Danio rerio: one gene and its partners. The protein of the gene in region 1 binds, or shares a complex with, the protein of each later gene. Links are inferred from orthologs where the notes say so. Each region holds a gene or a part of one and is shown in the gene's direction. Other genes may lie near its edges.

Region 1 (6,269 bases):
TAAAGTCCCTCAATCAGCCCTTACAATCATGGCCTCCCAATCATCCCCATCCACCGAATTGGCTCTATCACTGTCTCTCCACTCCACCAACAGCTGGTGTGTGGCGAGCGCACTGGCCCCATTGTCTTGTGGCTGCTGTCGCATCATCCAAGTGGATGCTGCACACTGGTGGTGGTGTGGAGAGACCCCCCTCATGATTGTGAAGCACTTTGGGTGTATGGCCATACAAGATAAATACGCTTTATAAATACACACATTACATTACAGTACATTACAAATTTGTTGATGGTTAGTTAATTTTGCTAACAAATTTTACTTTTAAAAGAACTAATTTTGTGCAAGGTATATTTTAACTGTAGTTAAATTATAGTAATTCTCAACATATATGAATTGAGTGTTTTTTGTATACTTTAAGTAAACTTGCACATAGCCTACAACACTAAAACTAAAATTTAACAAAGAGTACGCTAAGAGCGATTGCATTATTTTTTGTGTGTGTGTGTGTGTGTGTGTGTGTGTGTGTGTGTAGTTGTAGTTAATTCGAAGCCCAAATTCTGAGCTTGGGGCAAACTAACCATTTACTACAAGCATTATGACTAGTTGTACACTTAAAGTGTACTGTCACACTTATACTACACTAAAAGCTAGCCAATTTAGTTCTATGATATATTCAAGTATTACAAGTAGCTCATAACAAGCGTTCCCAAACTATTCAGCTAGTGAGCCCCAAAATAACAATTCCAGTGACTCGCAATCCAAACAGTACAACATACAAACAGTGCACACAAAAAATAAATAATTAAATATATATATATATATATATATATATATATATATATATATATATATATATATATATATATGTGTGTGTGTGTGTGTGTGTGTGTGTGTGTGTGTGTGTAAGTGTGTGTGTGTGAGTGTGTGTGTGTGTATGTATATATATGTATGTATGTATGTATGTGTGTGTGTGTGTGTGTGTGTGTGTGTGTGTGTGTGTGTGTGTGTGTGTGTGTGTGTGTGTGTGTGTGTGTGTGTGTGTGTGTGTGTGTGTGTGTGTGTATCAGGCCCGGATTGGCTAATCGGGAGGACCGGGAGAATTCCCGGTGGGCCGGTGCGTTTTTTGGCCGCGAGGGCCGGTGTCCCTAGCTCTAGAATCTGTTGCTCTCAGCAGTCACACTTTTTAAATTAATTTATTTACTTACTTGACTACAGTCTTCTTATTCATCATTTTACCGCAGCTCTGCTCTTTTTATATATGACCAGCCTGCAGGTTAATGACGATATTAGTCAGATGAGTCAGTCCTTCATATACAACTGTTGTGGTCCAGTGGTTAGCACGTTAGATTATGACGCTAACTTTCAGTAACTCGCAGCGACATATATAATATATATATATTTATATATATATAAATAATTTTTTTTGTCAATATTTAATTTACTATTAATCTCACTTAATGACAACGGTGAGCACACTGTTTGCAGCACAAGACTATTCTTGGTTTAATTTTGGGGATCGTCCTCTATGTGTAGTCGTGGCCTTTATTTTTTATGTACACGCGTGCCGTAAAGGTGTCAGAGTTTAACATTGTGCCATTAATCTAGTGTAATAACCCCAGGGGTTGGAATCCAATGGGAAAAGAATTGAAAGGCTGATGGCTTTTTATTTGCATGCTGTTATTTTATTTAACTATTAAATACCATGTTTATCTTCTGTAAGTTATGGATAAAATATGGCTATTCTAATAGTTTAATAACATATATTAAAGAGAAATCACCAAGCAACCCACCCTCATTGTCTCACAAACCCCAATTTGGGAACCACATAGCTATACTACTAGTAGCCTACATAAATGTTTATGTGAAGTATGCTTAAGATATATCAATATTAACTAACTATACTTAATAAAAAGGAACGTGAAGTATACTTCTTTTTAGTAAGGTTAGGCTACTTATTACCCATGTGGAAACCAAGTTAAAGTCTACTTTATTTTTGTTATGTAGGCTAGTTTTTTTTTTTTTTTACTTTTTTAATTGGGGTAAGTTAATAATAATAGACATCTGCCTAGTATTTGTCGATCTAAACATATAGTACATAAACTCAATAGTTTAGTATATGCGTCAAGTACATTACTAATCTACTACATGTTTCTGAACGCACACGGAAGATAGAACAGAAGTCACGTGACCCGCGCGTCAAAGAAATCAGCTGAGGGCTCGGAGTTTCACTCAGGAAATCCAGGTAAACCGAACAACCAAAGTACATATTAAAGTAAACGATGCGTATTTATAAACTGTACATGTGTGCAGACTTTACGTAAATAGTTGTTGAGGGTAGTTTAAAAGAGAAGTCAGTAAAGTAGCAAGCGCAAAGTTCATTCACTGAAGCATATTTGTTGACAGCGCGATTTGTGTTCACTTGACATGAAACTACACTGTAAGATTCCCGAATGTTAATGTTTGTTGTGTGTCAGCAAAGTTAAAACAATAGCTGTCTAGTTTTATAAATGAAAATGCGTGTTTGTGAGTTTGTGAGCCGTGATTTCCGCATTCTTTCGTTTTGCAGGTGCAGCGCAGATCGGTTTTACTAGTCATCTGTTTAGTACTAGCCTGCTAACCAATAAACAACATTACGCCAGCTATTTTCGAGTAATTATTGAGCTAATAAGGCATATTTCAAAGCAAGGTGAGCAACTATATGGGGCAAGTTTTCTCGTTAATTCAAAATGACAACAGTAATATCATTAAGGGAGATTCTAAAACGCATGAAATAAGCTTAATAATTGAGGTTAAGTTGATTTTATACTATAGACTTTATCCTTAATAATATAATTTTGGCTAAGAACTGCACATTCTGATTAGGGACATCATATTAGCATCTAATGACTTTCAAAGTACACGCTGCTCTCAGTCAATTAAATAATGCTAATGTTTAGGTCATACTTACATGTGATTTCAGACTTCATATATAAAGTAGCATGGTAAACAATATAGGGAGTGTATCACAAGTTGTCACTGAAAGAATGTGCGAATATAAAACCAACTTTGCCTCAATAGCTTAATATACCTAAACATCAACCAGAGAAGCCCACATTTCGATCAAACTTTACTTGTAATTAACCCGAACTACTGTTAAGACAGAGTCCCAATTCCATAAGTGAAAAATATCACGCTAAGCGTTTTCTCCACTATTGAAGTCTATTATAAGTAAAAGCTTAATGTGGCTTAATGTACCTCAACAACAAGTGGGGGGAACCAAATTTCTATCAAATTTTACTTGTGGTTAGCACTAACTATATAGCAAAAAAATTAAAAATTTGCCCCATTTCCACAGCTTAAGTGAACAGCGTTTTTCCCTATGTTGTTGTGGGGATGTCAATGACATGCACAAGTGCATTCTTTTGACAGCAAAGGGTTAATCTATAATAAATTAAGTTAGATTTTTTGAACAGCTTTTTTATAATTTGGTTTCCCTCTGTTTTTAAGTCAAGCTTTCCTTATTAAGGACTTCAACGGGGAAGAAAACACTTAACGTGATATTGTTAACTTTATCTGTGGAATTAAGGCCCATTCTTTTAAAAATAGTTTGTCTTAATCACAAGTAAAGAAATTTGGGTTTCCCTGGTCTGGGTTAAGATATGTTAAGCCACGTTAAGCTGATTCCTTATAATGCGCTTCTGTGAGGAGAATGCTGAAAGTGATATTGCTCACTTGATACACTAAAATAAAAGCTTGTTCTTTTACAGCAGTAAGTGTTTTTCATGAATATATATCTATAGAAATTTGATTGTCTCTAGATGTTAAGTTAAACCACATTAAGCTGTTATAATGGACTGAAATGGGGATAAAATGCTTAACAACATTGTCCGCTTTATCTACAGACTAAGGGCTTGATCTTTTGATAGTAGTTAGTGTTAATCACAAGTATTCGATAGATTTTTGGTGTACCCCACTTGTTGAGGTATACATTAAGCCATGTTAAGCGTTTTCCTTTTATAATGGACTCAGTGGGGAGAATTGCATACCGTGATAATTTTTACCCACTAAAATAAGAGCTCATTCTTTTGACATCAGAAAGTGTTTGTAACTTTTATAGAAATTTGGTTTCTCCCACTTGCTGTTAAGGTACATTAAGCCACGTTAAGCTTTATCCTTATAATAGACTCCAATGGGGGAGTAAACGCCTAACATGATGTTTTTCAATTTATCTGCTTAATTGGGACTCATTCTTTTTACAGTAATTAGGGTTAATTACAAGTACAGTTTGACAGAAATTTGGGGTTTTCTGGTTGATGTTTAGTTACATTAAGCCCCGCTTTCTTCATGTTAAGCATTTTTGAATGTCCCCATTAATATAATTAAGAAACGCATACAAAATAGTGAGCAATTGTTTTGGTCTCCAAATAGTACAGTACGTTTTAAGGGTAACTTAAAGTTGGTTTATATTCACACATTCAGACTTTCTCCTTAATATAATTTCAGAAAACTATTCTTTACTAATACTAAATAGTCAAATCATATTCCCAGCAAATGACAATTAAAGTACAGCATTGTTCATGGTCAATTAAATAGTGCTAATGTTGTTTTGGAGGCATATGATTCAGACCGAATATTTAAAGTAGTAAACAATATAGGAAACATGTCACAAGTTGTCCCTAAATGAATGTGGGAATATTAAACATTAATAAGTATGTATAGTTTGTGTAAAACATGTTTACAACTCGTGAAAGTCTGTCACTACTTGACATTTATTAAAAACGTCGCAAATCCAGCATTTCAGTTCATACATGTTAATATACAAACTATTCTGTAGCATGTAGGATCAAATATAATGATAGTTGAATGTTATTGAAGGAAGAAATTGATAAGCCATATGTAAAAACACGTTCAAATAGTATGTTTTAGGAGCAATGTATATAAGAAAACATGTTTATGAATAAATTGTATAAGCTTGTTATTATGTAGCGCAGTATAAGAGATAATTGTGCGATTGTAGGCCTGCAAATAAATGTGATTTCTACAAATGTGTTTTCTGTCTCTTTCATTAAAGGCTTCCATCATGTATGGATCAAGAGAAGTCGATGCCAATGGGCTGGCACAGACTATTAGTTCAAACATCCAGAGGATAACGCTTCTAAGTGAGTACATTCACTCTTATTTATGTGCTATAAAAATTGTATAGCTTACAAAAATGTACCATCAGTTTTTTTTACCAAACAATAACTGTTAGTAAACTCGTACTTTTTTAATGATTATGTCTAGACTTGACTTGTATTTTTAGCCACGCCTGGATGGTGGTGATGTTTCTGTTTTCACATCTTCAATTTCTTTGTTCAGTTGTTCTCCATTTATCTGCTATGCAATTTAATGTGCTACATTCACAAAACCACAACAGATAAAAAGTCAAGTACAAGCGGAACACATTTGTTTACGACAAAACAGTCCTTTCTGTAACCTGATAACATGGGAGGTGTTTAAAGCTGATTTAGATCTTGCTTCTGTTTCCCAGCTAATGAAATCCAGCAGTTGATGAGACATCTTGGAACGGCACAAGACACAAGTGACCTGCGACAGACATTGTGAGCCAAATACAAACATCTAGTTTGGATCTCAGTCCTTTAGCACATAAAATAAATAGAGATGAATCTATTTAGCCTATTTTTTATCAGCTAATCATTAATGAATTTAAAACGGTCTGTGTTTTGGCTATAGCGTTAAACCGACTATAAAATATATCTGTTTTAAGGACAAATGATTAGGAATATAGGCTAACAGTTTATTAAAATCAATATCAGTCAAATGGCCTTTCTGTGGATCCCTAAAATGTATATAATTCAAATATATTCTTTTGTCTTTGTCAAAATAAATAGGCAGGAGAAGCAGCAGAGTGTCAATCAACTTGCTAAAGTGACAGATAAATGCATGAAAGATTTCAGCTCTTTACCTGCGACCACAGAACAGGTACTATCAAACTCATACTTCATCACATACACATATTTATAAATGCTTTACAATTGAGTAATAGAATGTAGCTTAATATATTGAAATATACACTAACCGGCCACTTTATAAGGTACACCTGCCCAACTGCTCACAGATTTCTGATCAGCCAAACACATGGCAGCAACTCAATCCATTTAGGCATGGTCAAGACGATCTGCTGCAGTTCAAACTGAGCATCAGAATGGGAAAGAAAGGTGATTTAAGTGACTTGAACGTGGCATGGTTGTTGGTGCCAGACGGGCTGGTGGGAGTATTTCAGAAACTGCTGA
Region 2 (6,544 bases), on another chromosome or scaffold:
GAAGACCGGCAGAAACTCAGAGTTTAGAGAATAAAACCTGCTCCTGACTCCTGCTTTCTCGAGTTTGACCCAGAGTTTCTCTCATTTCAGAGTTAACATGCTCTGAGTTTTCACTTAACCTGCTTTCTGAAACGGGGCCCTGGTCTGCTAGCAGATCATGTTTAATACCCTTTTCCTCAAGAGTTTTCATTTGACCAAACCAATGATTCCCCAACAGCCTAAGTTGACCTTTTTCTTGGATGGCTCCTAAATACTCGAATTCAGGGGTGGCCAATCCTGTTCCTGGAGATCTACCTTCCTGCAGATTTCAGTTGCAACCCTTATCAAACACACCTGTCTGTAATTATCAAGTGGATTTCAGGTCCTAATTAATTGGTTCAGGTGGGTTTGATCAGGGTAGGAGCTAAACTGTACAGGAAGGTAGATCTCCAGGAACAGGATTTAGCACTCCTGCTCTAATTGGCCTTTTTTTGGACCTTTCCTAAACACCTGCATCCATTATCTAATGCAGGGATGGGCAAACTTGATCCTCGAGGGCCGGTGTCCCTGCAGAGTTTTGTTCCAACACTAGTCAAACACACCTAAACAAACTAATCACTGTCTTAAGGATCACTAGAATCTATAAGCAGGTGTGTTTGATTAGAATAGGAGCTAAACTGTGCAGGACACCGGCCCTCCAGGACCGAGTTTGCCCACCCCTGATCTAATGGGTCATCCCAACCGCTTATTATATTGGTGGAATATAGCTCATATTCAATGATCCTTTTTGGCAGATGCAGGTGTTCACTTATCTTAACCCTCTCATTAACCTTAGTCACCTTAGCTGAACTACTGGTGTTTAGCATCTCTTAACTGACATCTTTAAAAAACACTTTCAGATACCCATGATGATGCATTAAACGTGCATATTGATCATTGATTAATAACAACTGAATATTCATCATTAAACAAATAGATATGGGGTGGCGCAGTGGGTAGCACTGCTGCATCACAGCAAGAAGGTCACTGGTTCGAGCCTCGGCTGTGCCAGTAGGCATTTCTGTGAAGAGTTTGGATGTTCTCCCCGTATTGGTGTGGGTTTCCTGCAGGTGCTCCGGTTTTCCCTACAGGTCCAAAGACATGTGGTATATGTGAATTGGGTAAGCTGAACTTTCCGTAGTGTATGTGTGTGAATGAGTGTGTATGGGTGTTTCTCAGTGATAGGTTGCAGCTGGAAGGACATCCACTGCGTACAACATGCTGGATAAATTGGTGGTTCATTCCGCTGTGGTGACCCCAGATTAATAAAGGGACTAAGCCGAAAAAAAAATTAATAAATGAATGATAAAAACTCAACATAAACATTACAATTTAATAACAACCATCTGCATATAGTCTACATTGAATTATTTTATGTAACTGACGAAGGACAGTTAAACTCGAGGTGTAACTCCGCCTCATCACATCGGGTGTGCTTTATTTTCTAGTATATTTCTTGTTCATCCATCCAGCATGCCTGTCAAGACACTCGTCCCACGCAGAAAGCGATCGCCAATCCATCAGAGCCAATGAAGCAGCGCGGTTAGCAGAGGGGCGGGGTGGCTCCGCCTATACTGTCATTCTATTGGTCGATTTCTGGAGCAGATCATGTCAAGTGGAGGCGGGTCCGCAACGGGACAACCTTAATCAATATCCAGCGCGTTCTACATCCAAATAATAAAAGCATTGTTGATGCGTAATGTAACGTAATGTAGATTACGTAGAAATTCGAGTTCAGATGTGATCGTTTAATACCATTACAGGACCCTGCACGGGGCTGTACGCTTCAGTGGTGGCTGTGGTTTCTGCTTTAGTCTTTTACATCATGTTTTCATCCCAACTGGACACTGTGCTCGTTTCACCACAGATTGAATGTATTGCTAGTATAGTCGTTCATCATATCATAATGTCATTTTCATATCTCTCATGCTATAAACGACATGACTTACCTGATCTGAGGAGAAAGCAGCCTTAAAATCAGCGCGACGAGCCCTAAACCCGCCGCGAACGCCACGAGCGCGAGCATCATGACACTGCTGCTGCTGCTGTAACTGTACTGTACTCCAGTCTGTCTCTGTCCGTCCGAATGTGTTCAGCAGCCTCCCACTCACATCTACAGCTGTGCTCCCGGGGAATGATGGGATTGTAGTTTTCATTGTCTGCACCTGCACAAAAATGTTTCCTGAATGGTCATTAATTTGTTGCTGAAAATGATTGTAAATATTTTATTATTAAATATTATATTTGCAATAAACTACATGCTGTTTTATTGACATGTGTTGGGCCTTATTTTAATTATTGATATGTAGTAATAATGTATTTTTTCCTTCGCGTGTTTGTGTGAGAAAGTTTGCAGTATGCAACAACAAATAGAAAACAACAAAATGAATATAATTTAAAGTGAAATTGAAACTGAATAGTTTTTATCGTACAGCGTATCAAATATTATAGAGTGAATTATAGTACTATTAAGTCATTTATGTAAATGAATAGCAAATATGTAGGTAATATTTATTATGTCAGCTAAACTTTAATTGTTCGACGATTATATTTACGAAACAGATTAATTTGGGTTTTCCTAAAAATATGAACTACAACTCCCACACTGTATTTATGATGCGAGCTGTCTACATATTTGCTACGTTTAATTGAAGTCTACTTTTGTATCATTTTTCAAAAATGAAGTGCATTAAAATTTTAATTAAGCATACACATATTAATATAGAGCTGTTTTAGATGTTTAAAATTTTAAAACAGCCTTTAAGATTTTAATCTGCATTCTTGTTTGCAGGCAAAATCAAGACCGCCTATCATCACGAGGTCCAACACGGAAGCGTGAGCTGCAGTCCCGAGGATTTTGTTATTGCCCGAGAAGCTGATTTTTCCCTATTGTTTCGTACCACAACAGACTTCAAATTTTCGCTCTTTTATTCTGTTGTCATTTATTTTGTTTATTTGCTTTAGACTTCGTTTGTTCCACTATGTCTTCAGAGGAGTTTGAAAAGCTGCATGAGATGTATAAATCTCTGTATGACGAAGTGAAGTTGATGCCAGAACGGGTGCAGAAGAGCCAGGGAGGTGAATAAACTCTTTATACTGTATTATACGTTAACAAGACTGTGCGAATGAACTGCTTTCATCAGTGAATAGTCATTAACTTATTTTGAGTACTGTCATTAGAGATTTTCCAAACACTCCTGATATTGTAGCTGTGGATGAAGTATCGAGATTATGGAATTAGGCTGCTGTTCAGAAAAAAATGCTAAAATATCAACCATTAACAAACGCTTTGAAAGTGTGTGGCTATAGTTTTTTTAATCCACGGGAGTCTAGGACACGTTCATAAACTGGGTGCGAGGATTACAAATTGCTGGCTCAGTAAGAAAGACTGAGTCTAAACAAATTGCCATATACACTGCTTTGTGTCTGCAGTAAAAATGCAGTCTGCATATTTGGAAAAGACGATGTCATCTCTATCCCTAATTTGCAGAAGTGAGGTAAAGTTGGTTTTATATTTGCACATTCGTTAGTTTTTGACCAGTGGCAAATTGTGACTGTCTACTTTCAATAATGGCTGTGAGGCATGGGATTATGATTCAAAACGACATTAGCACATTTATTGACTGTGAACGACGCTGTACATTGATAGTCATTGGCTATAATATAATTTCCCTATTAAGAATTTTCAAAAATACTTTTCTGAAGTTATATTTGGAAGACTAAAGTCTCAAATGTGTGAATATAAAACAAACTTTACCTCAATATTTGCAGAGGGACATTCTAAAACGTTTAACGTGGCTTAATGTACTTGAACATCAACCAGAGAAACCCACATTTCTGTCGAGCTTTACTTGTAATTAACCCTAATGACTGTAAAATCAATGAGTCCCAATTCCCTAGATAAAATGTAAGACATCACAATAACCATTTTTCTGAAGTCTATTATAAGGAAAAAGCTTAACATGGCTAATGTACCTTAACAACAAGTGGGTAACATTTAGTTTCTCTTGGTTGTTGTTGTAAAGTCACGTTCAACCTTTTCTTATTATGGACTTCGATGGGAGGAAAACACTTAACGTGATATTGTTCACTTTATCTATGGAATTAGGGCCTGTTCTTTAGACAATAGTTAGTGTTAATCACTAGTAAAGTTTGACAAATTTGGGTTTTCCTGGTCAGTGTTAAGGTACGTTAAGCCAGGTTAAGCTGTTTCCTTATAATGGACTTTTACAGAGAGAACGTTTAGTGATATTGTTCACTTGATACAGTATACTAAAATAAAAGTTTGTTCTTTTAACAGAAGAAAGTGTTTATGAGTATATTTTTATATACATTTGATTGTCTCAATGTTATTAAGTTAAACCTCATTAAGGTCTTATAATGGATTTCAATGGGGATAAAACGTTTTAATGTCACATTGATCAATTAACTTCATCCACAGAATCAGGACTTGATCTTTTGCTAGTAGTTAAAGATAATTACAAGTGAAATTTCATAGATTTTTGGTGTGCTCTTGTTGAGGTACGTTAAGCCATGTTAAGCTCTTTCCTTTTATAATGGATTTGAAAAACGCATAACGTGATCCTTTTCACTTACTAAAATTAGAGCTCATTTTTTTGACATCAGAAAGTGTTAATCACAAGTAAAATTTGATAGAAATTAGATTTTATTTTAGAAATTAGATTTTAATTAGATGTACCTTGTTGTTAAGGTACATTAAGCTACATTAAGCTTTTTCCTTACAATAGACTACAGAAAAACGCGTAATGTGATGTTTTACACTTTATCTAGGGCAGTAGTTCTCAAACTGTGGTACGTGTATGCAGGCTTCCTTCTAGTGGTACACGGAGGAATCGCTGAATAATTAAAGTAAAAATGAGCACACTTTTAACCCTTTGACGCGTACGATAACGCCGATGTGATCAGTAAATTGATTTTAATAGGATAAACCTTTCATTTTATTTTCAATTTTCTAATGTTTGTTATGTATTCTATCATTTAAAGCTAATTTCCTCTCCATATTTGTAACAGTTGTAGGGGCTTATCCCATATTTTTATATCCCAATGTTCACAGGTATAGTTTAATCACTTGCTTTACTGACACACATAACCTACTCTAACGTGCAGTGGGCAAACTCATTTTTTATTTAAATATGCAAATCCAATTCATATATCTAAAATACAAGTTAACATTTAGATTTCAAAGATTTACAAAGTCATATATACATGCATCATATATTTCAAAATTTAGGATACTTTATGATAATACTTTACATTTAGGTACAGCAGTTTTCTCTTTACTTTTTAAAAACAGTGCCGTTTTTGATTAGCTTTTGAACGCACAGTTCAACAGCACAGTGTTAATGTTCAAACTACTTATGATGTTTAATATGGCTGAAAATAACAAATATTCATAATAATAATCAGAATTAATCTGCCACGCTTTTGAATTGTGCAGTGCTGTAGCTGCTTAATTAGGCCTACTACACTACTGTATTTCAATACTGGTCATTATGGTGGTACTTGGGAAGAATTTTTAATTGAGGTGGTACTTGGTGAAAAAAGTCTAAGAACCACTGATCTAGGGAATTGGGGCTCGTTCTTTTACAGTCATTAGGGTTTATTACAAGTACAATTTGACAGAAATTTGGGGTTCTCTGGTTGATGTTTAGGTACATTAAGCAACGTATTTGCACATATTTCTTTACAAACTTGAGGTGGTCCAAGCATTTTAATATTGTTCTTTAAAATATATATATATATATTCAGTGATTGTATTTATTTGCACATCACTTGTACTGTGAAACATAATAGGCTCTTTGTGATTATATGCATGCTGCATTGCTTTAACTAGTATAAGTCATTCCAAATTAAATAATCAATGTGTGTGTGTGTATGTGTGCAATGACATAATGTTGAATAATTTCTTTTGAGGCATTTAAACGCTTTAAATGAAACGGTTTCCTGTGTTTTTTATTATTATTATTTTCCGTCTATAGATATAAACTGTAAGAGTCAATGTCAGTTGTCTCCTTGTAGTGTTCATTGTGTTATTATGCTGTTATTGTCTTGTAAATATTGTCACATCAATAGCATTAAATAAGATGACTGAAATTAACCAGCACTTTGTTTTTATTTGTAGAGGAAAGGAAGAGAATTGTCAGAGACTTTGATGAGCGTGTTTCAGAGGCTGAAGAAGTGGTAAGTAATGATGTTCACTTTATTATCAGTCTTGATTTCTGCTTCTTAAAATTGTATCTTTTACTTGGTTTATGGATTTCCTCTTTTCCTGTTTTCTGCTTTTGAGCACTACAGGCCTAATTAATTTATTTAAATAATGCAATAATGTAATGTGTATGTGTGTAAATGGTAGTTTTTTTTGACAATGCAAAAAATAATAATGTTTTAAGATTAAGGTTGTTTCTGATCATAAACTTATAATAAAAAATCCTTAGTCTTTACTAGTATATGACAAAATAAATATTATTTTCTGTTTATAAACATATGCATTAGCATCCTGTAATAG
Region 3 (6,433 bases), on another chromosome or scaffold:
AATAAAATCCTCCATCTTGGATGGCTTGAGACTGAGTAAGATAATAGCATATTATAATTCCTTGGTGAACTTTTAGGTCATTTCTACTTCAGTATCTAAAAATACAACAACACCAAAAAAATTGTGCTCTAATCGCTCATATCCTCAGTTGTCTCTTCTTCAATCTCTCTTCCTATCTCCTCAAGCTTCACGGTTTTCTTTTGACCCTTCTTCTCCTCCTCTTTCTCCGCTGGCACGTACCATGGCTTTGCTGCCGTGTCATCACATGCCCTTGCTCCACCCCTCCTGTACCCACCTCGTCCCGCCCTCACCAGCCCCCAGCCCTGAGGTTTACCCTCATGGGGTCCGCTGTCCTGCACGCCCCTGGTTTGGTCCAGCTCCTTAGCACTGAGCGCTGGCATCCGTACAGGAACAGTGTTTCCAAATTTGGAGTAGTCGACAGAGTAGCGTCCATCCTCCTCTGTCATAATAGAGACGAAACGCCGACCCCACAAGATCTCTTCTGGTATGTAGGATGTGCGGGCCTGCATTGTGATGCCAGTCGTCTCCACAACACCTAGTCAAACAGATTTAGAAAGTTTAAACTTGGTAAGCAAACTTATAAGACACCATGCTAACCTAAATGGACCTTTGGATGTGACTTGAATTTGATTTTACTTCAGTGTGGTTTCTTTTTCTTTCAGTTTTTAAATAGTTTCATTTTCTTTAAATTTAATGTCATTTTATATTAATGCTTTGTATTATTTGCTGCACAATATATCGTTTCAGAATCGATATCGGAATGTGTGCACCCATAGTCCCATTGCAAGATATGTAATGTTGAGTCTAGATTATAGTTGAACAGGAGCCACAGAATTGTATTTAATTACCGTATTTAGACCGAATATATACACTTTATGCATAAAAAAAAAAAATCTTAAAATTTTTGTCTTGTTTCTATTTAAAATGTCTTAATTTCAAAGTGAAAACAAGATTATTTTACTTGTTTTAAGAAAAAAAAATCCTGACAAACGTTTGAGTTAAAGTTAAGTTGAGTTAAGTTGAAAACAAAACAATATTTTTGCTTGATCTAAGAATTTTTAGATATTTGGACTAGAAACGAAATAGAAACAAAAGCATTAATAGCCTTTCCTTGCTATTTTATAATTCATTATATTTTATGCTAAATTATTAAATTCCTGTACCTGAATACGGTTAGGCTCCATAGAAAACCGTCTTGTGAAACTGTATTTATATCACAATATTTATCGCAGAAAAATAAAATATTGCGTTATTAGATTTTTCTAATATCGTGCAGTCCTACTTAAGGTAATTTTTTACATTCTTCAGCAAACACTGAGAAAATAGGTAAACATGTTTTAAAGCATTGTGTAATCATTATTATCAATAATAAAAATGTCTTGCAGGTAATTCCAAAATAAGTGGCATTAATACGGTGAAAATTTCATAGTAAAATATTCTAGAAAGCCTAAAATTATGACAGATAAGGCATTAGAAGTAGAGTATGTTAACAGGGACACCAATAGTCCGACATTAATAAGATTAAGACAATACTCTTAATAAGAGTCTACTATGTCAGAACTTAATTTTCAATTAGTAATATGCATTACAGGCCTGTAGCCAGCCTGGTGAAGGGTGTGGATCTTTTTTCTTAAAAAGTTGACCATTTTGCATTTATTCGCCTAATTTTTTTCTATGTAATTATGAGGTTAAAATAAGTTGCATTTTTGTAACATTTTAAGCACTATTTTTTTGCTGGATTAGCTTGTTTGATGGTCATCATAACCACATTTTTGATGTTAAGGTTTACATCAATTATCATTTACATCATATACATCAATTGCATCATTAGAAAAAATAGGAATTTGTTAAAGTTTTAAATTAAAAACTTTAGCCTATTGTTATTTAAATATCATTAACATAAAAAGCAAACCGTCCCGCACATTCAACTTTCCTCAGTCATGCTGACGCAACAACCAACACAGGATTCCACATGGTGTTAAAGCCTTTTTCCATGGATTATTTTCACAACTTATTATGACATAGTAGTTATGGGCCTTTGTCAATGAGGGGTGGGTCTTCTGAACCACCTGAAACCCTCCCCTGGCTACAGGCCTGCTTTGTTAATAACTTAATTTAGACAACTTTAAAGGCAGCTTTCCCAATATTTAGATATTTTTAAACCCTCGGATTCCAGATTTTGAAATAGTTGCATCTCAGCATCAATGACAAATGTATTTATTCAGCTTTCAGATCATGTATAAATCTCAATTTCCCAAAATTGACACTTATGATTGGTTTTGTACTCTAGGGTCACATATTAGAGAGCTTATCTATGATAATCCCTTAAAAATACTTTGGCTTTTAAACAAAACAATTACATTAAGCAGACTCTATTCAATCAAACATTCATTCTCCTTCGGCTTAGTCTCTTATTTATCAAGGGTCACCACAGGGAAATAAACCGCCAACTATTCCACCATATGATTTATGCAGCAGATGCTCTTCTAGCCACAACCCAGTACTGGAAAGTAGACTCTATTCACCTTCTAAAATGACAATGATCTCCAGATCTTCGGTAGCCATTGACTGCGCTGAGAGCTCGTACAGTGGACTCCCTCTGTCAATGGTGTGACTGATAATGAGTGGAGAGACGAGGAATATGCCGTTGCTCCTGAGAGGGTTTTCCACCTGGATATCTAACTGACAGACGGGAATCACTTCGCCCTCCGCTGTCACTGTCCGCCGAATAACCTGAGGAGCAAATATCAAGATCAGGATGGAATCAAACTCAAGAATATCTGGTACAGACATGATATATAAAGCATTTTTGGCTCACACTTCACATAATTTGTGTTTGTTATGATAATCAATGTGTATGAAAATCACTCTCCATGTCGAATTTCTAAATTCTTGCATTCAAGATGCCTGAATAGATTTCCATTCTGCCAAGTAATGGCAGAATTTTAATTTTAAGGTGAACTGTCCCTTTAAGGCAGAATTTATACTATCTTTAAAGCTACATATCTGCCATCATTTTGACATCAAATGCCTTGCTTTTATGTTGTCTGAACCTGGTGATAAAATAATGATTAAATAACCTTAGTTTGAAGGACATATTAAAGATCTATAGCAGTGTTTCTCAACCACGTTCCTGGAGGACCACCAACACTGCATGTTTTGGATGTCTCCTTTGTCCGTCAAACCAATTACAGGTCTTTCAGTCTCTGCTAATGAGCTGACGGTCTGAATCAGGTGTGTTTGGTTAAGGAGACATGGAAAATGTGCAAAGCGTGTGGTCCTCAAAGAAACGTGGTTGAGAAACACTGATCTAAAGGACTAAAATGAAGAACTCTCTAATAGAAGGTTCTGTGGATGTTAAGGTTCTTCAATGATTTAAATACATCAGTAAAGAAATAAACACATCTGTCACCTGCAGCTGTATGTTGGCAGAGATGATCATGCTTTTTCTCAGATCTCCAACACGAAACATCAATGTCGGTCTGCCATTCCTTGGGGCAATGACTGCGTTGCGGGAGAAGATGAGGGTTTCTGCTCTGCGGTTGGCTTGAGCTGTCTTCATGAACACACAGCCAAGCATGATGGCGTTGATGATCAGGCCCAGAATGTTCTGGATGATGAGGACTATGATGGCCAGCGGACACTCCTCTGTCACCATTCGTCCTCCGAAACCAATAGTTACCTGGTATTACAAATGCTTCATTATCTTACAGACGATTTAAAGGGGTCATGAACTGTGAAACCTAAAAATCACCTAATTTTTTTTTTTTTACATATAAGAGCTCATAGTTCTCTAAAAATATCCTGTAAGTTTTAGAACTGAACACTTTGTGGTTCCTCTAAATACAGATTATATTGAAGGCAGTCTGAAGATAACAGATTCTTGAATGTTCTACTCTATGATGTAATAGAGTGGATAAGCCCCGCCTCCACAGAAGATTGACGTCAACTTCTACTTCACATCCTGTTCAGCGCTGTTAAGGTATAGTTTACCAAAAATATTACATTGTTTATTCTCCCTCAGTTTTGACAACTAGTATTACGTTTCAGTCAGTCCAATCACAAGTGGATGACATTAAATAAAAATGTATGCGGAGTCTAAAATATTTAGATTACTGAAAATGCATGTCATAATAATTCTAGATGGAAACAGAGTCATATCTATCCAGATTGATCCTTACCTGCACTTCAATGGAGAACAGAAAAGCAGAAGTGAAGGAGTGAATGGATGTGACGCACGGCACAGGTCCGGGTTCATTGGGATCTCGAGGTTCTAGATCTCCATGAGCGAATGCCAGGAGCCACCACACCATGGCAAAGAGCATCCAGGAGCAGAGGAACGCTGAGGTGAAGATGAGCAAAGAATGCTGCCATTTCAGGTCCACCATGGTGGTGAACACATCTTGGAGAAACCGACCCTGAGAAGCAATAATCTCTTATGAACACTGCAACTGAGTCAATTGAAACTTTTCTTTAGCCTAGAACTGATAGGAAAATCTCACCTGTTCTCGAATATTCTTGTGGGCTACATTACATGAGCCGCTCTTGGTGATAAAACGTGCCCTTTGTGACTTTGGCCGGATGCGGCTGGGTTGTGCATCTTCAGCGAGTCGCGTTAACAAGAACCCATCAGGCAAAAGACCTTTGCGGGCCAACATTATGACAATTTGTGGCCAATTGGTGCTCCGCACTGTAGAAGGAATTTAAAAAAAAGAACTAAAATATACAGTAACACTAAGGGTTTCTTGAAAAATAAAGAAAAAATTATGAAGTACATTTCAGTTAATTTAGTTTATCTTTAATTCTTTAGCCCTTTTTACAATGTAAACAATATACAAAGCAGTTTGACATTACATTTTATCATTAATTCATCATTAAATTTAGTGTTTTGTTTTACTTATACTGCTAAAAAAATAATAATAATAAATTAGGTTTACAGTATATATGCATTGAATTGCATAATTTTAAAATCTTTTACCTAAAGGTAACGTTTTGCCTAATAATAATGCAAAAGGTTACATTTATAAATTACATAATGAATAAGGTTATAATAACATTATAATAAAGGTTACATTAATAAATTATATTATTAGGTTATAATAAATAAAAATCGAAGAATTTTTGATGTAACTCGTAATATAATAGTTAAAGCTTAATTTTAATTATTTTTTTTGTTTATTTTATGCATAAACAGATAACTCATAAATTGTCTTTTGTTAGTTGCACAGATATCAAAGCATATTCATAATTTTAAACAATTACATTTATATTTCTTTTAGTTTTTATATTTAACTAATTTAAAATATAATTATTTAATTAAATAAATGGTAATCGTTTATTAAGGGAAAAACTGGCATGAAACTGTCTAATCACGAGCGACAATGCTATTTTGAATAGTTTAGTTTCACTCAAACATAAAATATATACATGTATTATTTCAAATATATACATATATTATAACGTTTTATCATAATTTGGTTGTACATCATCAAAGAAGCGCGTAAGCTCATCGATTATTTTACATATTTCAAAGCAATTTTTTTCGGTATGAGAATTCAGATGACAGTAGCTGATAGACCGCTCTTAATGTCATCCAATCTCCTAATTCCTGTTAAAACATCAGCATTAAAACGATTAATATTTTTCAATCCCCTTCAATTATTATTTTGCATTATATTAGAACATTTTCTTCATTTAATTGAATGCATTGTAGCGCATTAAGACATCCAAAAATCTTAATTTCAATATGCATCCTTTATTATTGTGTTTTACGATCGCCATCATGATGACAGGATTATCAAGGTTTTTTATAAGATAAAGATGCTTACCAGCACAACAGTGTCAGGCGCTGTTTATTTCATATCGATGTCGTTTAGTAAAATAATACTAACCGAACAAAACATTTAAAACCCAAACGCAAGCAGATGGCAGTCTAGGAAGCTTATGCAATCAGACAGAGTCCTTATGATAGAAAAATGAATGACCGGCGGATAAACATATCCCACAATCCCCTCGCGACAGCTGCGCTTCACTGTACACTGCTGCTGTTTGGCGGTTCTCTTCGGGATAAATGCGCTCTGTTTACTTTTGCCAACAGTTTTATTAACATTATATGTGTGCGAATTACATTTATACGTCTTTTACGGATAATAAGAATAGTTTTCGTCGGTGTTTGGCGTCTTTTGGAGTATTTTTAGAAGGTTGTTAGCCGATTAGCTCTTTAAAAATGGCTGATCCATGGAATCGAGGTAAGTGACACGTAGCAGTTCTCTTTTAATATGCAGTTCTTACACTTTTTAAGCAGTACTATAGCTAAGTTACATGATATTATACATGATATTAAAATATTATAAAGCTTTTATTGTCTAACAGTAGCTTCGGTTGTTGATTTTGCCTGAACAAATTTACTTAA

The links. Proteins that work in one complex are often made in the same cells at the same time.
Region 2: stx7l (region 1) and vti1b share a complex: the UniProt entries of both Homo sapiens proteins name them as parts of the SNARE complex. The link is inferred for Danio rerio from reciprocal best matches to the Homo sapiens genes STX7 and VTI1B.
Region 3: stx7l (region 1) and bet1l share a complex: the UniProt entries of both Homo sapiens proteins name them as parts of the SNARE complex. The link is inferred for Danio rerio from reciprocal best matches to the Homo sapiens genes STX7 and BET1L.

What each region holds. Positions count from the first base shown.
Region 1 is NC_133195.1:49,558,504-49,564,772, forward strand, and holds the start of stx7l (syntaxin-7), read left to right. Parts: upstream 1-2,190; 5' UTR 2,191-2,239; intron 2,240-5,047; 5' UTR 5,048-5,056; coding exon 5,057-5,135; intron 5,136-5,506; coding exon 5,507-5,576; intron 5,577-5,867; coding exon 5,868-5,958; intron 5,959-6,269. UniProt on the Homo sapiens protein: May be involved in protein trafficking from the plasma membrane to the early endosome (EE) as well as in homotypic fusion of endocytic organelles. Mediates the endocytic trafficking from early endosomes to late endosomes and lysosomes.
Region 2 is NC_133188.1:36,490,505-36,497,048, reverse strand, and holds the start of vti1b (vesicle transport through interaction with t-SNAREs homolog 1B), read left to right. Parts: upstream 1-2,865; 5' UTR 2,866-2,999; coding exon 3,000-3,096; intron 3,097-6,160; coding exon 6,161-6,219; intron 6,220-6,544. Other genes in the region: rdh12 (retinol dehydrogenase 12), read right to left, coding at 1,968-2,047. UniProt on the Homo sapiens protein: V-SNARE that mediates vesicle transport pathways through interactions with t-SNAREs on the target membrane. These interactions are proposed to mediate aspects of the specificity of vesicle trafficking and to promote fusion of the lipid bilayers.
Region 3 is NC_133200.1:8,371,580-8,378,012, reverse strand, and holds the start of bet1l (BET1-like protein), read left to right. Parts: upstream 1-2,754; 5' UTR 2,755-2,804; intron 2,805-3,433; coding exon of another isoform or gene 3,434-3,703; 5' UTR 3,704-3,706; intron 3,707-3,870; exon of another isoform or gene 3,871-3,932; 5' UTR 3,933-4,003; intron 4,004-4,164; 5' UTR 4,165-4,202; coding exon of another isoform or gene 4,203-4,439; intron 4,440-4,523; coding exon of another isoform or gene 4,524-4,679; exon of another isoform or gene 4,680-4,711; intron 4,712-5,849; exon of another isoform or gene 5,850-5,969; intron 5,970-6,009; exon of another isoform or gene 6,010-6,247; coding exon of another isoform or gene 6,248-6,269; intron 6,270-6,433. Other genes in the region: kcnj11l (potassium inwardly rectifying channel subfamily J member 11, like), read right to left, coding at 129-556, 2,547-2,754, 3,434-3,703, 4,203-4,439, 4,524-4,679. UniProt on the Homo sapiens protein: Vesicle SNARE required for targeting and fusion of retrograde transport vesicles with the Golgi complex. Required for the integrity of the Golgi complex.